Linked DNA regions of Cricetulus griseus. The protein of the gene in region 2 purifies or fractionates together with the protein of the main gene of each other region. This does not show direct contact. Links are inferred from orthologs where the notes say so. Each region holds a gene or a part of one and is shown on either strand. Other genes may lie near its edges.

What was found. The genes of interacting proteins can lie anywhere in the genome.
Region 1: the proteins of Cct2 (region 2) and Tubd1 purify together in Homo sapiens (co-immunoprecipitation; 3 studies listed by BioGRID and IntAct, with this or other methods). This does not show direct contact. The link is inferred for Cricetulus griseus from reciprocal best matches to the Homo sapiens genes CCT2 and TUBD1.

Annotation. Positions count from the first base shown.
Region 1 is NC_048600.1:99,790,665-99,797,590, reverse strand, and holds the start of Tubd1 (tubulin delta chain), read right to left. Parts: upstream 4,041-6,926; 5' UTR 3,897-4,040; intron 3,883-3,896; exon of another isoform or gene 3,627-3,882; intron 1,997-3,626; 5' UTR 1,949-1,996; coding exon 1,777-1,948; intron 1,509-1,776; coding exon 1,361-1,508; intron 1-1,360. Other genes in the region: Rps6kb1 (ribosomal protein S6 kinase beta-1), read left to right, coding at 4,256-4,396. UniProt on the Homo sapiens protein: Acts as a positive regulator of hedgehog signaling and regulates ciliary function.
Region 2 is NW_023276806.1:139,273,262-139,280,055, forward strand, and holds the start of Cct2 (T-complex protein 1 subunit beta), read right to left. Parts: upstream 3,978-6,794; 5' UTR 3,825-3,977; coding exon 3,822-3,824; intron 3,224-3,821; coding exon 3,149-3,223; intron 3,042-3,148; coding exon 2,976-3,041; intron 1,400-2,975; coding exon 1,288-1,399; intron 870-1,287; coding exon 793-869; intron 692-792; coding exon 579-691; intron 1-578. UniProt on the Homo sapiens protein: Component of the chaperonin-containing T-complex (TRiC), a molecular chaperone complex that assists the folding of actin, tubulin and other proteins upon ATP hydrolysis.

The DNA.
Region 1 (6,926 bases), on a different chromosome or scaffold from region 2:
ACTGAGTCATCTCCTCTCTGGCCTCATATATTTTGTGAGAGCAGCCCAGGAACTCCTGATCCTGCTTCAGCCTCCCAAGAGCTGGGATTACCTGGAAATTCTATAGCACAGCAAAACTTGGGAACTACTGCCTTGTAAAAACAGTCCTTAGAGCCGGATGCTTCTGAGGTAAGGTTACTGTGCTGATACAAAGTGTGCAGAGGGATAATGAAGAGGTTGCACCAATGGCCTTTACCTGAGCACAGGCACAAGGAGAATGAGAGGTTTTGGAATGATATCAAATTCTGAATATTTATTTACTGGTGGTAATGGAAGTTGATCCTAGTGCCTCAACAACACTGGGCAAGGGCTGTACTGCAGAGCTATATGCTTGGCCCCTTTGTTTATATACTTGTAATTTTGAGACAGGGGTTTGCTAAATTGCCCAGGATGACCTTGAACTTACTCTATAGCTCTGGCAGACACTGACCTTGAGATTCTCTTGTCTCTGCTTTCAGAGTAGTTCGGATTATAGGCTTGCATCACCAAGCCTGACACATTCTAAATTGTAATTTTTTATTTCATATTTTCGGGAGGGCATGCACATATGTGGACATTAGGAGTCAGGTCTCTCTTTATACTATATGGGTTCTGGGAACTGAACTGAGTTCATAAGGTTTGGCTCTACCCTGAGTCATCTCCGTGGCCCAAATTCTTAATTTTATTTTAGTTTTCTTTGAGGCAAGATTTGACTAAGTAGCTTTGGATGGCCTGTGTGGTGGTTTGAATAAGAATGGCCTCCATAGGCTCATAGATTTGAATGACTGGTCATCAGGGAGCAGCACTGTTTGAGAAGGATTAGGAGGTGTGGCCTTGTTGGAGGAAGTGTGTCTGTAGGTGGGCTTTGGGATTTCAAAAGCCCCAGCAAGGCCCTGTGTCTCTATCTTCCTGCTACCTATGGACTCAGATGTAGATCTCTCAGCTACTTCTTCAGCACCCTATCTGCCTGCTTGCTCTCATGCTCCCCACTATGATGAAAGTCAACTAAACCTCTGAAACTGTAAGCCAGCCCAATTAAATGCTTTCTTTTATAAGAGTTGCTTTGGTCAGGGTGCCTCTTCACAGCAACAAAACACTGAGTAAGACAGCCTGGAACTCACTACGTAGACTAGGCTGGCCTGAATTCACAGAGTTCTGCCTGCCTCTACCTCTTCAGTGCTGGCATGAAAGACTGTGCCACCACACCAGACCCCAAATTCTAAATTTTAACAGAGCACTTCCAAGATTTTGAGCTTGTTGTGTCAACTATACAACTATCACGGTATGAATACTTAACTGTATAGCTTTAAATTCACTGAAAGTCATGAGGAGTTGTTCTTACCCATATGCCCAGTTGTTCCCAGACCCTTGTCTCTGACAAAAGCATGCATGCTGACCGTATTTCCATCGGCCAGACTGGCCAGCTTTTGATAGCGTTTGATTGATAACTTTAGGTTCCATGTCAACAAGAACAGCCCGGGCAACTGGAACTAGAGTAAGGAAAAGAAAAACAAATAATACATTTTATGTCAGTACCACAGAGCGAGCATAAACTTCTAAGTCCCTGAACCATATTGCCAGCCCTAGATTCAGTTTTTTATGTTTTTGTTTTAATTCATGGGTTGGAGATAAGACTAAACCCCAGCATGGGGTAGGGAAAGAAAAGCAAAGGCCCTCCCTAGTGCAATGGAAGGGATGAGCTAAACACTTTGAAGACATTCACATGAAAGTAAGGAGAGGATTGTTGACCACACCTACCTCCATTTTCTTCCTCTCTGAAAAATCTTTCTTTGCAAGATGCTTGATAAGCCTCATTTTCTCTCTTAGAGCAGAGTCCAGGGGAACATTGAGTGTCCCTAAATAAAGCATCAAACACTTCAAAGCCAATCTGGTTGCCACACTGCCCAAGTTGCACTGTTACTATTGACATGCCAAGCCACAAGCTAGGCCTAGTCTAAAACACAAGGGAATGGATGACCTATAAAAAAAGACACAGACATGAGAAACCACCACATTACTAATAAGAGCAAACAATATGCCATGTGTTCATTATGTAGACGAAAAGTGTTGGAGAGATGGCTCAATGGTTAAAGCACTTGCTCTTCTTTCAGAAGACGTTTGGGTCTCCTCACTGCTGCCACTAATTCCAGTTCTAGGGGATCCAATGCCCTCTGCTGGCCTTCCCAGGCATTGCATGCACACGGTGCACATACAGATGTGCTGGTATTTACATACAACATAAAAATAAATAAAATTTTTAGAAAATTAAACATATTTGTACATGAAGCTGGAGAGACGGCTCAAAGGTTGAGAGCTCTGGCTGCTCTTTCAGGGGTCGTGAATTCAATTCCCAGCAACCACATGGTGGTTCATATCTATAATGAGATCTGGTGCCCCCTTCTGGCCTGAAGCCATACGTGTAGGCAAAACCCTGTACACAATAAATACGTAAGTCAGCTGTCTTTAATTCCAGCATTTGGAAGGCAGAAGTAGGTGAATCTCTGAGTTCGAGGCCAGCCTGGTCTACAGAGCGAGTTCTAGGACAGCCAGGGCTACACAGAGAAACCATGTCTCACCCCCCCCAAAAAAAAAACCTTAAAAAATATATATGTACACTAATGAAAAGTAACTATTTGTCTGGGCATGTAAGCATGTATCTTTAATTCTAGCACTCAGGAGGCAGAGGCTGGCCTCAAACGCACAAAGTTCCTCCTGCCTTTGCCACCTGAGAGCTGAGATCAAAGGCATGTGCCACCACTGCACCACCTCGAAGAGTGAATTTATTCTTTATTTATTTATTTATTTTTTCTGAGACAGGGTTTCTCTGTGTAGCTTTGGAGCCTAACCTGGCACTCGCTCTGTAGACCAGGCTGGCCTCGAACTCCCAAATATCTGCCTTCCTCTGCCTTCCTAATGCTGGGACTAAAGGGTGGGGCACCACCACCACCCAGCTAATTGAAGGAATTCTTCGTATTCACTTCTTGTCACATAGATACCAGAAGTTAGCTTATTAACAGAACATTCATCTAACATTAATTTTCTGTCTTTCAAGAAAATGACTTATTCTTTTTCTACTAAGCAGCTTCTGGCCAGGTAAATACAATAAAGATCAATAAGAAATGTTTTATGCTTAGTTCCAGTATTAAAACAAAGTTAGGGCTGGGGCATGGTGGCACATGCCCTTAATCCCAGCACTTGGGAAGCACAGGCAGGCAGATCTCCATGAGTTCAAGGCCAGCTAGGTCTACATAGTAAGTTCCAGGACAGCCCGGGCTACATAGTAAGGCCCTTTTCTTAGAAAGAAAAGAAAGAAAAACAAAGTTGGAGCTCAGGGAAAGGCCAGATAAAGTATTAAAACAAATCTTTATTATTCGTCTGAGCTGGCTTCAAACACGTAATCCTTCTACCTCCGACCTCCTGAGAGCCGGGATTATAGGCGTGGGCCACCATGCGGGCTAAAAAGAGAATTTTGATACATGCATCATCACATCAAGTCTGTGTAGCCCTGGAAATGAGCAGAAGCTAGCGAACCAGATTTTCAACTTAACGTCTAAGCCTGCAATGTAGGTAATACTATTCTCATTTTACAGATAAGGAAATTGAGTTACCGAAGGGTTATGAAACTTCCCAAAGCCACTGAATTAGCAAACAGCAAGGCCAAGACTCTTCTCTTGGCCCTTCTGCCCTATCGGCTCCCCGTTAGCCCCACACTCACTGACAGCTCTCCGACCCGCAGTTGCAGTTCGGTTCAAACTTCAGACAAACCCTCTCATTATGCGCATGCTCACTTTCAATACTTCTTTTAAAAACTACGGACAACGAACGAATGCGCATGCTCCTTAGACGGAGACCTCGTTGAAGTTTTTTTTTTTCCTCACCTCTTCCCTTTCCTCCTCTTCTATTTAGAAAGGTTAATCACGCATGTTCAAATTTAATTTATCAACTTCAGATATGGTACGCATGCTCAGTGTCCAGGAAAACGCCTTAGACAGTGACGCGCATGCTCTACTTTCCCGGCTTGGCTTCGGTTGGTATTCTGCGCATGTTCCTGCCAGTACCTGGCGCCGGGAGCTAGTGCTACGCATGTCCGCTGCCCACTGTTGGCTTCACGGAACCTTGTACGCATGCTCCGGGGCTGAACTTGAGCAGCCAGTCTGGGGCCTAGGCGCAGACGCATTGAGCTTAAGCAGCCGGTGATGGCGGCAGCAGCAGTGAAGTCTGCGGCGGGTCCGGGCCCATGAGGCGACGACGGAGGCGGGACGGCTTTTACCCAGCGCCTGACTTCCGAGACAGGGAAGCTGAGGACATGGCAGGAGTGTTTGACATAGACCTGGACCAGCCAGAGGACGCAGGCTCTGAGGATGAGCTGGAGGAGGGGGTGAGGCCCGGGGTCCCGGGGGATGGGGTGGGGGGGACGAGGTGACAGGGCCGGGGTGGCGGCGTGGGCTCAGGGAGCCTGGTGTGTCCTGGGGCGCGGAGGCCCGGGGGGACGCAGGCGGTCTCCGGGAGGAGCTGAGGCGCGGCGCGGCCGAGCGGGGGAGCGGGCGGGGCGGACCTGGCCCTAGGTGTGAGGCCTCTGCGGGGCGCGCAGGTGCAGGTCTCGCCCTCATCCCCAGAGCAGCGCAGCCCGGAGCGATGGGTTTGTGGAACGCTGAGGAGCCGAGGCGCGCGTTCGGCTTCTGGAGCTGTGGTCCTGAATGTGGCCCGGGTGGCGCGAGCGTGTGCTGGGGGTGGGGGCGCTGATCTTGCTGGGTGTCCCCTAAGTGCAGTTGTGAGGCGAGGCGCGGAAGGGTTTCCCTTTGGAGTGTTTTAAGAGTGCAAGTCTTGAATCTTCAGAATCCCCACAACCACCTCTCTTCTCGGCCTGTCGCTTCTCTCCTAGGAAGCGCTCAGCTGTTAGAAGTGACAGCTGAAAACTTCTGTCGGGAGTAGCACTGCCGCTGCTGTTACAGCCACCAGGAGTTTTATTTCGGGAGCAAGGGGGCTCTGCTGCATCTTCCAGGGTTTGTTTGTTTGCCTTTTATTTTTAACCCCCCTTCCGTGTGACATTTTAAAGGAAAAAAAAACATTCATAATGACACACGGCATGTGTAAGTTAATGCCCCTCAAGTTGAAGATGTCTCTATTTTTTTTTCGGAATAATTTATTTAATTGTAGGGTGGGGGAAGAAACATCGTTGACAGCTGTGATTTGTCTCGCCAAAAATAAATTGCTTGAACAGAGACTTGTGAATAGTGGTGTGAGGGTTTTCCTTGCTGAAGTTTAAATTTAGAATCGCTTTTCCTACTGCATATCTTGGTTTTTACCTTTGCTGCCCTAGTAGTTTGTTATTTATGGACTATCACCTTTTCTAAAGTAATATTTATTGAAGTATACACATATTACACCGAAGGTTTAAAAAAAATGAGATGTCAAACTAATGAACCAATTCAGGACAGATGTCCTCAGTAATAACCTCATGGTGATTTAAAGCCATCTTCTTTAACAAGAATATAGGTTTAGGGCTGATCTTAGATATTTATTGTATTTGCATAGGGGCTCTTTCCCTTCTCACCCCCAGTTTTCCTTCTTTAGTAAATAAATTGTGCCCTTCTGGCAAAAAATTGAAATAAGGACTTTATGAAATTAAGTGGGCCAACAAAGTATTACTCTTTTCATAATCAAATGACTCTCAGAATTACACAGTTCCAAATGTGGGTTTTGAGACACACACTTTTTAAATGTGGAATTTCACTTAGCCTTTTAATCAAACATGGTGAATACTAAATTTGAAACAAATACAGGATTACTTTAATTATAAATATGATACACTGTTGAGTTATATTGGTTCCATATGGCAGTGGGGCTAGAGAGTAAATTGCTGAGGAGTGTGGCTTTATGTGAATACTGTCATTAGTTACTGGTGGAGTTTTCGGTCTATGGGTCTATTGTCTTTTGAAGATTCAGTATTATGATTCTTGGGATGGACTGGGGCCTTGTTTGTTTTTCTTTCACTTTCTGAGTGTGCTTCAGGAGCAGTTAGGTGTTCCAGGTTTGGCCTACTGTTGGGATAGGAAAAGTGTATGAGAGAATGAAATGTGACCACTGCCTTAGGGAAATGGAATTAGGAGGAAGAGTAGAAGTAATTGAGGGGGATTTTGAAGAGGAATGCTTTTAGAGTTGAAATGTTTCTCTTTAGTGCATTCTTTAAAAATCAAAACCAAAAATACAATGTGTCACTGTGTAGCCAGGTGGCCTCAAACTCAAAGTTCTCCTGCATCAGGCTTCTGAGTGCCAGGAATACAGGTGGCAGTGTACCACTAGGCCTTCACTGAGTGTGTTAAAAGAGGTGTCTCAACGTCCCAAGGTGGATAAAGGGAAAGAGATGGTATGGTGTTGGGTCAGCTACCTAAAGAGAATCAGTCCAGATTACTCTGGAAAAAAAAGTTTTAAAATTTTGAAGTGTGGTAACAGTTTAGATCCTTAGAAAATCTTATGCTTCCTATAGTGAATGTACAACTTTTAGTTTGTTGTGTAAATCTTTCTTTTTTAACATTAGTGGCATGTCAGAGCAGTCTCACTTCTTTGTGTTATAATAAGGAAACTTTGGCATAGGCCAAAGAAGTGATTGCCCACAACTAGAGTCTTTTGACTCAATTCAGCAGATTATACTGAATAGATTTAAATATCTTGGAAGCAGACAGATGGCCCAGTGGGTAAAAAGCACTTGCTACCAGAAGTTTCAAGCTTGAAGACTTGAGTTTGATAAATTTGATTGACACGGGCTTATTGTGTAGCTATACTGGCCTTCAACTTGTGGTTCTCCTTCATCCTCCTGACCCTCTCTCCTGTGTGCTGGGGTTGTAGGTTTGCACCCCCAAATCCAGTTTGCACACTGACTCTCTCTTTCACATTTATTTGTTTGTTTC
Region 2 (6,794 bases):
TGCAAGCAAGACCATCAAATGTTGTCAAGAATGTGGGGAAACATCCATTCGTGACACACTTGGCACTAACAGAAATCATTGCTGGAGATTTGGTAATATACATAAAAGTAAATTAAAATACGTTAGACTCAGCAATTCCACTTCTAGAAATATTCCTTGGGTAACAATTTCCCACATTATTACAGAGCTAAAACTTTCCAAAAATACAATTCTTCAAGGGCAGACAGTTTAAGAAAACTTTATCAGTCATATACTGAAGCACCTAACAACTGATGTTGCACAGAACGTATCAACACCCAGAAACACAGGGGTTGCCTACCAAGGTTAAACAGAGATTAATAAACCAGGCATGGAAACACACCTATAGTTCCAGCACTCTGGAGGCAGAGGCATGTGGGTCTCTGTTTAGAGCACAGGAGGCCGGGGTGAAGAATCAGTTTCTATGCTAGCTAGCTGAGATTAGGAAGGCTATCCCTGGAGGTGACATGTAGATAGGATAAGGCAGCAAGACCATGCTCATGCATGTTTCTCATCGTCCTCTAGATCAGACTTTCCCAACAGAATCTTGGTATACCAACCCGTGATCAACAGCAGAGGTCAACAGCGCCTCTCTTGCTGCCTTGGTGGCTTCTCTCCAACCTGCAATGATGGTCTGTGGATGTATCTTTTTTGCAATTAAAGATTCTGCTTCCTGTCAATAAAAAAGTACACATATAAAAGTAATAAAGGGTTGGATTACTTCTACCGCTCAAAATCATTCACAATAATAAGGTGCAAGTGTTGAGTTCTTACCCGGAGTAGTTCTGCTGCCAAAACAGTAACAGAGGTAGTGCCATCACCAACTTCATCATCTTGAACCCTTGACATATCTAGGAAAAACAAAATTATTTCTCCACATTCCTAAATCCTTTTAAAACATCCACGAAAAAGCTAAACCCCACTTATAGTAGGTTCCATACCTGACAAAGTTTGTGAGAACTTTAAGTTCTAAATACAGTCCGTATCTTGAATGTGCCCTCCCAAATTCATGGAAGCTTAATCCCTCATCTTTTTCTGTCTCATCCATGTTATGACACAGCAAAAGGAACCTCACTGACTGGGCCCACTGGTCTTGGACTTCACAGTTCAGCCAGACAGACTTGTATCATTTAAAAACTACCTAGTTTGTGGTTGCAGCAGCCCCAAATGGATAATAATGATACTTCTGAAATTCATTTCAACAATGGCTAATGACGGCTATCATTTAAATAGTTGTAAAATTATTAACAAATAGATATGCAGACTCACCAACTAAAACTTTAGCTGCTGGGTTGTCAACACCAATGTTTTTTAGAATGGTGGCACCATCATTGGTTACCATTAGAGAGGCATCTCGTCCACTGCTTAGAAGAATTTTGTCCTTAAGAGAAATTGGTTTGTGTCAAATTGAGGAGTAAGTACTTCTTGAAGAAACCTGGAGTCAGTAACTGCACTCAGCTTTCCATTGCTGACACACCAACACTCTGGGTGGTTACCTGACCACCAAACATTTCAATGCATGTATCCGACAACCAACCCTCAAAAACTTGGAGGTACAGGTAACACAAACTAGCTCTGCTACAGCACCATGACAGACAACAATGGAAGCAAATGTCCATGAACAAAGTTAAAAGCAAACCCCAGAATACTGTATTGTGGTTAAAGAAAAATAACGTATTTTTAAAAATCATCACAATGGAACCCTCCTTATGCTAGTTAAAAGATCAATTTAAAAAAATTGGTAAAAATCCACAAGAGGGAGTTCAACAAAAACAGAGTGCTGAAGACAGGGTCAAAGAAAGCAGTGGGAGGCACTGAAGGAGGAGGTATCAGGGAAGTTGAAAGTTTGCTGGGTGACCTTGACCCAAGTCAGGGCTTGGCCATGTGTGCCAGAGAGGAGATGGCTTGGGTTTAGTTATGTCTTGAAATTGGAAGTGTGGGGTTTGTTCAGAGTGTTTATGATATCGAAGGACATATGGACAGTTAATGACTTTAGTGGAATGAAGCAGTAGTAGGCATTTGGCAATCATTTGGGCAGAGGAAACATAGGCGTCTGAGAAGAGATGAGATTTGTGTGGAACAGGTGATCATGAGAGAACAGGAGCCTAAGGGTGAGGATGAGTTATTAACAATGGAGGGGTCAGACAGGAAGGAGCTGGAGGACCCTCTTGTGTATGAGAAGGATGGGGAAAGAGGTCTTGGAGAGTTTTTTGACAGGAGTGTAGAGGATCTGGGGCAGAAAGGAGAATGCTAAGGAAAAGGGTAAGTATGGAGGGATTGAGGGAATGACGGGTAAGGAATGTCAGTGATGAGTTTTTGATAAAGAGAAATTTGGAGATAAAATCTGAGGCGATGGAAGTGACAGTAGAGTCCTTTGTAAGTTAGGAGTTGAGGGGAATAGTGGTGGGAACAGATGGTAAGAGGGGATCAATAGATTGTGAGAGCAGATCCCGGAGCTTGTAAGATTTAGTGATGAGCAGAAGGGCTGTGAAAGAGGGCATTCTACAGAGTTCTAGAGAGGAGTAAGCAACAGGGGCAAAGGTCCTTCTTAGGAAGTGTCTATGTATTTTGGAAGTGTTAATGATGGAAAGGTTTGTACAAATCTGAGAGGCAGAGGGCTGGAGCAGAAGAGAGAACACTTTAAGAGATTGATTGTGGGTGGAAGGACAGTAAGGCTATAAAAATAATAAGCATGTCAAAAGAGGTAGCAAAACTGACAGAAGCTTAGAAGAGGACACCAAAAAACCAAGTAGACACCAATAGCACATACACATAAAAGTGTTATCTTAGAAATGCATTATGAAAATCTATGATAAACTTAAAAATACTACCAGGTTTTGCATATAAATGGTAACACTTGCTGCCAGTGGAGAGTAATGTTCGATTGGGGATGGGGATACAGGAGGATAATTTTTTATAATTTAATGTTTTAGCTTGCAAAACATAATTTTTCTTACCATGCCCTTGGGCCCCAAAGTGCTCTTCACCAAGTCTCCAATGGCGATGGCACCAATAAAGGATGACTTAAATTAAAAGAGAAAAAAAGAAATCAGAAAAGGCGGTCAAAACTTACCAGAAGAGAGAAAAGTACAATCTTGTCATTTAAAAGAGGCGGAATGAACGGGCTTACCAGGCGAGCTGTTTCGGCTCTCTCTTCATCAGCTCCAGCCTTGAAGATATTCACAGGTGCCAGGGAAAGGGACGCCTAAAGAAAGGGAAACCAAGATACTCCGTTTGAATGCCAGTACTCTTGAAATTAACACATGTCGGGAGTCCGTCATGGGAGTGGGAGTTTATTTAAATGGCGAGAGGGACTTACTGGTGGGCGCCAGGAACCAATCAACCGGCTGGTATGTAGGGCTAAACTAAAGGCAACACTAAGGGGGAGGCAAGCGGCGTCGGAGGCACAGTGGTCCCAACCACCAGGGACCCTCCATCTTCCACAGGCCTGCACAGCCACCCGCCCGTCAGGCCCCGCCCCGAGGAGGGCGGGGCTGACAAGAGTACTAGAAACTTCTTCGTTTGGGGTGAGTCCCGGGGGTCATCGGGGTCCCCTAACCACGAAGATAGTTGATCTGAGACAGAGATGCTGGCTTGGGGTGCACTCTCCCTTCGCGCCCCCCGTAGAGAGTTCGGTCTGCGGATCCCACGCAGGCCTCACGCCCGGCCATGTGCGACCGGCCGGCCCGGGAGACGGCCTCAGGGGGCCTGTGTCTCCCGTTAGATAAAAGAGAGCGGCGGGGAAGCGGGACACAGCGGCACCCGGGCAGGAGCGGAGGTCGTGGCCCGAAAGCTAAGCTCACCATGGTTCCGACGAACTCAGCGCAGAGGATAATCCCTCACAAGCCGCGCCGGGAAGACGGCAGGGGAAAGGAAGGCGGAAGTGACGACACACTCTACCGAGGGGGGCGGAACCGACCGCGCAGGTTTCCGCCCGTGCGACCGCCTCCCTCCTGCGTAGTGGGCTGTGCCGGAAGCGTAGCCTCTGGAGGCCGGGGGTGGGGGGTGGGGGGACTGGACTCGCGCCACGCCCAGTGGCGGAAGTCACTGCAGATGGGGGAGGGGCTAAGGGCGGGCCCATTTAGAGTAGAACTCCAGAACAAAGAGACACAGAAACTGAGTTCCTGCTTACATGTATTTTTAAGGTCAGATGTACAGTTTCAAGTGTTGTACGCTAATCATTTCCCTCACTAACTCTCCCTGGAAGCAAACACTCAAGTTTTCATCTTTTTTTCCCTTTGTGGGGATTATTTACCTGCGTGGAGACTACTTCTCTTTCTGGGGCATAAAGCCCATGTTACACAGAATTCCCCTAGCTGGCCTTTTGTTTGTTTTTGTTTGTTTGTTTTGTTTGTTTTTTTGGCTTTTTGGAGAGCGGTCCAGAAAACTTAGTAGGGAACTAACCTGCTCCTTAGTTAGAAGCATAGCCTTGGAAAAGGCTGCTCTGGTTGACAGAGCTTTCTGAGGCTTTGTGACGAGTCTGCCGATAAAACGCTTTCTGTTCCCAGTGTCCGGATGACTCACAGCTGCTTTTCTAATCAGCGGGCCCGGGGGTGCTTGCCTCATGCCACACTTCAGGTGTTTGTCATCGGTTGCCACATTTGAGGCAGGAGTGGCTCCGGCAGTGGCTCGGGCAGCCTGGGGTAGCAAGCTGCTGCTGGGGTGTCCATAGTCTGACAATCTCCTTGTTCAGTTCTCTCTCTCTCTCTCTCTCTCTCTCTCTCTCTCACACACACACACACACACACACACACACACACACACACACACACACACACACGTACGTACGTTTTTTTCTTTTAAGTTCTACCAAAAATTGGGTTTTCCACCCTTCTAGTTATAATCATTGCTGGCTGGTGTAGCATACTGGTCAAAGGGATGCTCTCGGGAGCTGACTTCCTGTTTTGTTTTTGTTTTTTGTTTTGTTTTGTTTTTCAAGACGGGATTTCTCTGTGTTGTCTTGGAATTAGCTGTGTAAACCAGGCTAGTCTCAGAGATCTAACTGCCTCTGCCTCCTGAGTGCTGGGATTAAAAGTGTGTGCCACCACTATCTGGCACAAACTTCTTTTTAACAATTTAATACTGGCCGGGCTTTGGTGGCGTATGCCCTTAATCCCAGCACTAAGCACTCGGGAGGCAGAGGCAGGTGGACCTCTGTGAGTTCAAGGCCAGCCTGGTTTCCAGAGCGAGTGCCAGGATAGGCTCCAGAGAAACCCTGTCTCCAAAAAAAAAAAAAAAAAAAAAAAAAAAGAAGAAGAAGAAGAAGAAGAAGAGTTGACTATTGAATGAGATTTTAGTCTGTGTCATTTATCAGCTCCATTCTCCCAGGTCTCACCACCTCCAGAGTAGTAAGTGGGGTGGGAAATGTTGAGACAGGGTCGAACTCACAGAGATTCACCTGCCTCTGCTTCCCAGTGCAGGGATTAAAGGCGTGTGCCACCAACGCCCCGACTGAGACAGGGTCTCCTGTTGTTGTTGTTGTTTTTTTTTTTTTTGTTTGTTTGTTTGTTTGAAAACTTACCTATTTTTGTGGCATTGGGGATTGAACTCAGGGGCTTGGGTTGATGGATTATACAGCAGGAGTACAGTTGGCTTTCAGACGACCCACCCATCTCCCAAATTCTTCCACAGTGGCTTTACTGCATTGGCTTCCACGGCACATACACTAAAACTGGAATGATACAAAGATTGTTATGGCCCCTGTGTCCCTCCAACACTGAATGAAGCCTTCAGACATTCCCCAACACTTGATATTGTCACGTGTTAGATTTTTTAAAACTGTTTTTGCTATTTGCAGATTTTTGTTGTTGGTGGTGGTTTGGGTTTTTAGTGCTTGCAGTTGAACCCAAGACCTTTGTGCACGAGAGGCAAGTAGTCAACCACATAGCTGCTCTACCAGCCCTGCTTCCGATGGTCTGAGGTGGGTCACTAACATGTCTTGGTTTCCCTAGTTTGTGAAATGCAGAAGCAGCGGCACCTCTATCATTGGGTTGACCCGAGGAATAAAGTAATTCACAACCACACTGAACAGCTCCAGTTTACATGCCCCCGATAAACATTAGTATGGCATGGTTAGACTGGACCTCTGTTGTAGTAAACACTTGAGATTCTTGGCAAAAATGATGCTCAGTTTGGGCATAGATTCCATGGTTATTTTTAATAATAATAGCTGACTTCATGGTATTCACCACGTTGAGGGCTTTTTATACCATATCATTTGAACACACCCAGGCTGCTCAGTAGATACTAATACCATTCTGTTTTTAGATGAAGATGGGAGGGCTAACCCTTGTGCAGGAGGCTCTGGGACAGAGTTTCAGTGTTGTGACTAACCCTCCATGTGGTGATAATTTTATGCTGGCTGTAGTGGAGTCCTTGCTGTGCTCCTGAGAAACAGTCCAGGGAAGAGGGAAGTGGGCAGGCAGGCGGGAGCAGGAGGGCTCCCCAGACTTGCCTTGAGACTTAGGTTTCAAGCTGAGGACAAATGGCTAACTGAGGTGCCTACTTAACATGCCAAGCAGACCTGGCTGCCAGCATCCCTCAGTCCCTACCTGTAACATGGTATGGCTGGCACAACCTGCCCCTAACCTAAACTTCTCCAGCTCAGGGCTCACCAAGCTCTGAGCCTGAGACCAGGCAGTTTAATAACCACTGCTGGAAGGAGATCCAGCTCCACGTCCCCAGTTGCCCCTTCTGGAACACCTGCCCGGAGAGCAGCGCCTTCAGACATGCCCCGTGACCTGTCCCACATGATTGTCTCAGGCAATCTTAATAAC